Danio rerio: one gene and its partner. Each later gene encodes a partner of the first gene's protein in a complex. Links are inferred from orthologs where the notes say so. Each region holds a gene or a part of one and is shown in the gene's direction. Other genes may lie near its edges.

Evidence for each region.
Region 2: tctn1 (region 1) and mks1 share a complex: the UniProt entries of both Homo sapiens proteins name them as parts of the tectonic-like complex. The link is inferred for Danio rerio from reciprocal best matches to the Homo sapiens genes TCTN1 and MKS1.

What each region holds. Positions count from the first base shown.
Region 1 is NC_133185.1:8,983,511-8,987,343, reverse strand, and holds part of tctn1 (tectonic-1), read left to right. Parts: intron 1-2,426; coding exon 2,427-2,545; intron 2,546-3,833. UniProt on the Homo sapiens protein: Component of the tectonic-like complex, a complex localized at the transition zone of primary cilia and acting as a barrier that prevents diffusion of transmembrane proteins between the cilia and plasma membranes.
Region 2 is NC_133180.1:61,446,324-61,450,256, reverse strand, and holds the start of mks1 (tectonic-like complex member MKS1), read left to right. Parts: upstream 1-987; 5' UTR 988-1,202; coding exon 1,203-1,279; intron 1,280-3,547; coding exon 3,548-3,669; intron 3,670-3,933. UniProt on the Homo sapiens protein: Component of the tectonic-like complex, a complex localized at the transition zone of primary cilia and acting as a barrier that prevents diffusion of transmembrane proteins between the cilia and plasma membranes.

The sequences.
Region 1 (3,833 bases):
GCTGGATTCGAGCCGAGTTCATGCTCGAACGTGTCAAAACATGATCACATGCGTCTTACGAGCGCGCCACTGAGACTGTTCAGAGTGCTGCAACAGTTTACAGATATAAACCAGACTATTTTTTTTAAATGCACTCAGTGCGATGTTCAGACCTAACTGTGTCAACCGCATCAGCTAAACTCTCCCACTCTATTTTTTTTTCTTTTGTTGTTAATTCCGAAAAACAAACTTGCAAATAACACCGCTTTTCTCCGATCTACCTCCGAAAGCAGCACCTCCAATTCACATTCTGTTCAAAGTTTCTCTTTTTGCTTGCTTTTGCCATTGCTTTTTCGTTGGGTTTTGCCATTAGCATAGTCATTAGCATATTCATACGGGGGAGGAGGCAGGGAGGGGTTTTGTGCTCGTGCATGTTGCGCTCAGTTTCACGTTCATTCAGATGTACAAAAGAATATGCGTGAGATTCGGCGTACGCAGTGTTTCATACATCTGAATTTTTTTCTGCGTACGCACATTTACAGCTTTGTGCGTACGCAATGTTTTAGTAAGATTTCCACGCAAGTCTTCGTACATGAAGCCCCAGATGTATGAAACACTGCGTACGCCGAATCCCACGCATATTCTTTTGTACATCCGAATGAACGTGAAACTGAGCGCAACATGCACGAGCACAAAACCCCTCCCCGCCTCCTCCCCCGTATGAATATGCTAATGACTATGCTAATGTTAAAACCCAACGAAAAAGCAATGGCAAAAGCAAGCAAAAAGAGAAACTTGGAACAGAATGTGAAATGGAGGTGCTGCTTTCGGAGGTAGACCGGAGAAAAGCGGTCTTATTTGCAAGTTTGTTCTCCGGAATTAACAACAAAAGAAACAAATAGAGTGGGAGAGTTTAGCTGATGCGGTTAACACAGTTGGGTCTGAACATCGCACTGAGTGCATTAAAAAAAGAAATAATGTGGTTTATATCTGAAAAATGTTGCAATACCTGTAACAGTCTCAGTGGCGCAACTCATAAGACGCATGTCAACATGTTTTGACACGTTCGAGCATGAACTCAGTTCGAATCCAGCGTCTTATGAACTCTTTCTTCTTTTTCGTCCGCTACATATCAGATTTTATCACGAGAAAGACAAGTATGAATCATCAATAAGTTTGTGCATCATATTTTATTTGCACATTTATTGAATGGAAATGTTTCTGATTCACGCATGCAAATTCATCTTCAGATAGTGTCTTTATAGCAATGTGCGTGCAGTAGATTACAGAGCTCAGATTACATTGGGAAAACAGGCGACCACTGCAAATTGTGCTTTAATGTTTAGCTGGTCAACTACGTGGTATGGAAACCTTATATACCTGCTAGATGAACCCGTCTCATACAGCTGCCATTGCATGGCTCAAAGACACTTTGTAGAATGCAATTTAACACAACTGCCTCTAGGAGTCGCCAATGGAAATAAAACAGACACGCACAAAAAATGTGCGTACGCCAGCCAGAAAGCTGCCGTGAAGCTGCGCACATTCCCACGTTCAGTTCATTGTTAGTAAATCCAAACGTGAGCGGTTCTGAGCGTGAAACCTGGCGTACGCAAAGTTTTTGTGCGTACGCAGCGTTGATACATGAGGCCCCTGGTAACAACCAGTACAGAGAAGAAACAGCAACATGGCGGCAACATCAAAATATAAGGCTAAAAGAAAATGTCTGTTTCTAATGTCTTGAAGGCAGACATTTACAAGAGAACAACGCGACAAAAAAAATTAAGTGATGTTTTGCACAGTTTGCCGTCAGTTTGACAAGTCAGCCCATCTTTTGTTAAATAATTTTGAACCGCAATAAAATGCTTCCACATTTTCCATACTACTATTTTTGTTTGCATAACACTTTTATTAAATTTCTTAAGTATTAAATTCTAGATTTAGAATTTATTTTTGACACATTTTTTAAAATATGCGGCTAAAAAATAGCTATTAACTTCCTATGTTTTTTTTTTTTTTGGTGGGGCGAGTGAAAATTTTGGCAGGGCAAGTAAAAATCTGAACCACTGGCCCGATTAGACCAGTAGAAAAAATCCATAGCGTTGAACCCTGCTTGATAATCGTTCTATTTTCCCACCTGCTCTGACACATGTTTGTGTAAAGGATGTATAACAAAGGTGAAAGGACACATCCTTGTGGGGACCCGGTTGAGGAGCAAACTTTATCAGATAGACATCCATTCACTCTAACACTTTGTGTTCGATTAGTTAAAAAATGAAGGATCCAGCCCACCAAGTTATTACTGAGGTCAAACTGTTCCAGCAATCTCTTAATTAAAATGTGAGGTTGAAATGTGTTAAAAGCACAGGTTGAAATGTGTTAATGTTAACTGTGCACTTTCAAATGTTTTCAATCATTTTTCCATTTCATCCCCATCCCTTTTAAAGATGAAGAAGGCTTGTCATTTGCCACACCAGAAGTTCCCACTGACCAGAATGCTGACTCTGTCTTTGGCCGTTCAAATGTGAGCAGTGCACCTGATGTGAGAAGTTTACCAGGATACCGGGTAAAGTTTGACTATGTTTAAATAAAGATGTCATAAAATGAGAAATCAAAATTTAGTTTTTCACATATCGTCACATATCGTCATACCTAACTTAAAAATATTTAAAAAAAGGTTCTATCTGACATTTTTGTCAAAATTGAGTTATTCATATATTCTTTTTAAATGACAACTTATTTACATTATGGGGTGTTTTTTATAAGTTGTTTAAATTTTAAGACTTTTTATTTAAAAAGCAAATGTTACACACATACTGTTTGCTATGGAATGCAGAAACTTTAAAGCGTAATATCTCAAAATCATTCAGAACGCAGATAGAATCTTATAAATCCAAGGTGACGATATGACGTCATAAAAACATCCAGAAAAAACTCCAGACTTTCTTATTAGTAAGCTCACTCTGCAAGATTTTTAGCTCATTGTTGAGTCTATTTATTTACTTCTGTAAATGCGATACACAGTTGAGGTCATAATTATTAGCTCTCCTGTGATTTTTGTTTTATATTTTCCTCTATATCTTTTTAAATATTTCCCAAATGATGTTTAACAGAGTAAGGAATTTTTCACAGGATTTTTTTTTTAGTCTTATTATTTCATTTTGGCTAGAATAAAAGCAGTTTTTATTTTTTTAAAGCCATTTAAGGTCAGCATTATTAGCCCCCTGAAGCAACTTTTTTTAAAATGTCTACAGAAAAAAGTTGTTATACAAGGATTTGCCTAATTACTCTAACTTGCCTAATTAACATAATAAACCTGGTAAGCCTTTAAATTACACTTTAATCTGAATACTAGTATCTTGAAAAAATATCTAATATTATTTATTGTCTCATGGCAAAGATAAAAAGACATTAGAATATAGTTATTAAAGCTTTTATGTTTAGAATTGTGTTCTAAAAATCTCTGTTAAACAGAAATTAGGGGAAAATACTTTTATTAGGGAGGGCTAATAATTTTGACTTCAACTCTATATTTGTTAAGGTTTTATGTTAGTTTCAGTAACATTATTAAATAATATTCAAATGTTTTTACAATTATATTGAAATGCACAAAACAGTTTGTAAAGTAATATTTTGTCTTTTAGTAAACATTATATGAGAGATTTACTTTACTCACCAAACAAGTGGTTCTTATTGCATTGCAAACCTTAAATAAAAGTTTATTTAATGTGTTAAGTTTGTAGTCACTGCATTCTCAAAATCTTTCCACATAAATCCACATGTTTTTTTTTTTTTTTTTACAAAATTCTGCACAGAAATAGAAAATATGTCCACAGATTCTTTCTGGCCTTGCT
Region 2 (3,933 bases), on another chromosome or scaffold:
TGTTGATTTGTGAATTTCATTTCTGTTTGTGGCAAATGTTTTTTTGAGTTTATTGGAGGAAAATTTCTCGTCTGACCTTAAAACAAGGTCTCTTCGATAGAAGAATGATCTTGTGCAAATTTGCTGTGCATAAAATACTGGTGTGAAATACAATTCATTCAGCCCTACAAAACATCTTTTGCTTGTTTGGCTGGACACCTGGTACACTCTAATACTTGTTTTCCACACTTGCATATTTGCAACTGATGAATGTTTAAAAAAAAAGAAAAAAGAAAAAATGTTTCTTTAAAAAAACAACGTAAACAAGTTGATTTGTTGGTTTTAGATTCGTTTGGCACTGATGTAAAATTGGTTTTGAATGTACACATTTGTTTACGGTGCCTATATTTTAACCCACGTTACTTTGAATATTTGGTCTGAATTAGCATGCAAGTACACCTTTAAAACAACATTAGCTCTAACCTTATTAAACTGACTGTGAACAACGTACTTTGATACTGGCTGCTAATATAATTTCCTCGTTTAAAATTAGCAAATGAGACATTTCTGATGAAAGGACAATCTCTAAATGTGCAAATACACCATATTTACCCCAGTCCGTTTGGTTCTTGTCATCTGGTTAGGCTACAATACACATTTAGAAATTCGAGCTGGTATAGTCTGGCAAACTAAGGAGGTCAGCTCAACGCAATATGTTTATTTTAAATGTAAGATTCCTTTTCACTAAAAACCTCAAAACATTTCAAACAAAGCAAAAATGTCTATAGTTCCCAAGTAAAATGCGACATAAGGAAACTAAATAATCGACCGTGTTTAACAAACATGTGGAACAGCTTTCAGTTTGTTGCCAGTGGGTGACAGGAAAAGTAAATGTGTTACCGCTTGCAGATCAGTAGTGAGCACCGGTCATTTATCAGAAGTTCGATCTCAAAGCAGCACAGGCTGATTTGAGAACAGCATATGTTTGCCAGTACTGAGCATGCGTGCATATGGCTTCCGGCCGCTTCCGTTTTAGATTGTTACTATGCAACAAGACGCTCTGATGTGTGGCGTTAACTGTTTTCAGCAGTATTGCATTCACGAGTGAATTATATCAAAACATTTTAAGCTGCCTTAGTCTTGATGTGAGTGTTTTTATAGTAACCGGTGGGAGTTCTACACTATATGTGAAGACTTTTATCTTTTGACGCTGTGTGTCAGATATGGCTGACGGCTGGTGCTCTGACAACGGAGAATCGGTTTACCGTTCCAGGGATGCAGTTAAAAACTTCCGAATACGGTAAGACACGTCGCCTGTGTGCATGTATAACAAACTGATGTATATATTTTAAAGCATTATGAACTATTTTGGACACGGTACTGTGGTGTTGTTTTGGAAGAGCTGTGAAAATACCACAGTAAATTAAAGGGATAGATAGTTCCCCTAAAACTGAAAACTCTGTCATCATTTACTCGCCCTGCTTTTTTCAAACCTTTTCTTTAAGTTTCTTTATATTGCTGAACACAGTAATTCTTCAAAATAGCTTCTCTTCTATAAAAAAAGAAATACTTGAGGCTGAGTAAATACATTAGAAATTGTATCCCTTTGAAAACTATCCCTTTAAATTTTACTTATTTCTATATTATATCAGAGTAACATTGTATTGCATACATCATTACTCTGTGATTTTGTTTAGTTTAGTTTATTTCTCAGTGTACATTAATCATTCACCTAGAACGTAAATATACTTATATTAACCCAAAGACTAGTTTTCATTATTAAGGTAAAGTTGGTTTTATATTCACACATTAATTCAGTGACAACTTGTGACACATTCCCTGCATCGTTTACTACGGCACTTAGAAGATTCGTTCTAAAATAACCTGCAAATGTGACTTGAAAACAACATTACACTGTTTATTTGACTGTGAACAATGTTGTACTTTGATAGTCATTGGCTGCTAATATGATTTCGCTATTTAGAGTTTGCAAATAATACTTTTATGAAATTATATTAGGAGAAAGTCTGAATGTGCGAATATAAAACCAACTTTACCTTTATGTTTTCATTGGTAGTCCCTTTGCCAGATGTTAAAGGCCATACCAATAAAAAAACAAATTCAACTAAAAACAAAACTCAATTAAACAACAGAAAACAACCACAACAACATCAAAAAGCCCAGTGTTCAAAATATTGAATAATAATAAGAAAATTTCTAAAAATGATACTCAAAAAAATCACAATCTCTAACAGATTGTGGTATCTTATTTCACTGATGGGATGCTTTCAAAGAAAAACAAGCTTGACCAAAACAAGTTTTTTAAGTTGAATAGTACAATCAGCTCTATCTGTACCTCAAGTCTTTTGTTTTCTACAGATTTAAACTAGAAAAAAGTTTTACGCAGCGGATGTCCTTCTTGCTGCAACCCCTTACTGGGAGACATCCATATACACTCATTCACATATATACACTACAGACAATTTAGCTTGCCCAACCAATTCACCTATACCACATGTCTTTAGACTGTGGGGGAAATAAGAGCACCGGGAGGAAAACTACATCAACACTGGGATGGGGAGAACATGCAAACTCCACACAGAAATGCTAACTGACCCAGCCAAGACTCAAACCAGCGACCTTTTTGCTGTGAGCGATTGTGCTCCCCACTGCGCCACGGTGATGCCAATCTTTTAAACTGCACAACCATTTTTAAACTTGATTTTTTCCCAACCAAGCAGGCTATGGTTTTTTTAAATATTGAAAAAAAAATTTTTTTTTTACTAAAATCTTTACTAAAAAATTCCAAAAGAAATTACTAAATTACTAAAAAATTACTAATACTTTCCTTCTTAGACTTTAAAGACCTGAAACTTGCCTATAGCACTTATTCATTGTTGCTCTAACAGTTGTGTAAATTGCTTCCTTGTCCTCATTTGTAAGTCGCTTTGGATAAAAGCGTCTGCTAAATGACTAAATGTAAATGTAAATAGTACAGTGTTGAAAACTAAACTTTTTATCCAAAATTTGTTGTTCTTGTTTATATAATATTTATATAGTTCTTTTTATATAATAATTCGAAAGGTTTCAAAACTGTAAAACTTGTTTTTGTGTTAAACCAAATTATCAGACAATTCATATGAGAGAGGATCGTAGAATTTATATACATTTTTGTAGCCTTATTTGATAAAGAATTTCCAATAAACCTAAAATTACCTATATTCAATTTGACCTTGTTACATACCTTTTTATATGTGTTTTAAAACCAAGACAGGAGTCCAGACAAACCCATAGGTATTTACACTCTGTGACATCTTGAACTTTCTCTCCTGAGATAACAACATCCTGTTTTGTTTCAATACGCATGTACTTCTCTAAATGACATGAAGCTATTTTTGACACATTTAATTTTGTGAAACTGCAACTGTTTTTTTGTAAAAGTTTTCACAATGATTCTGTATAATAACTAAATCAATAGTGCTGTGTTTACATGGTATTCAAACATTACTAAAACTAAGCCACTGTAAAACATTGTATCACCTTGTTACTTTTACTGTTTCTGTTTCAGAGTGCGCATTCAGCGTGTGACCTCCACAGCAGCCCTGTCTGAACACCTCCATCAGCAAGTGCTTTCTCAGCAGGAGAGAGGAGTTATAGAGTTGGAAACCTTCAGCACTCAGACGGCCTCCTGTATGTCAAAGACAGATATTAACCTGATAAAGGGATGGCTCACACAACAATGAGAATTTGCTATTTATTTACTCACTCTTTAGACCTAATTCAAATGCTTATTACGGTTTAGATTATTTTCTTACTTTTTAAAAAATACATACAATATATATTTTTAAATATCTATTGGATAGAACAGTAGAGAGTGTAGAGTAATCCATGGGGAGCAGAGAATGGGGAAGAATTAGTAAAGAACCTTGAGCCAAGAATTGAGCAAATCAATGC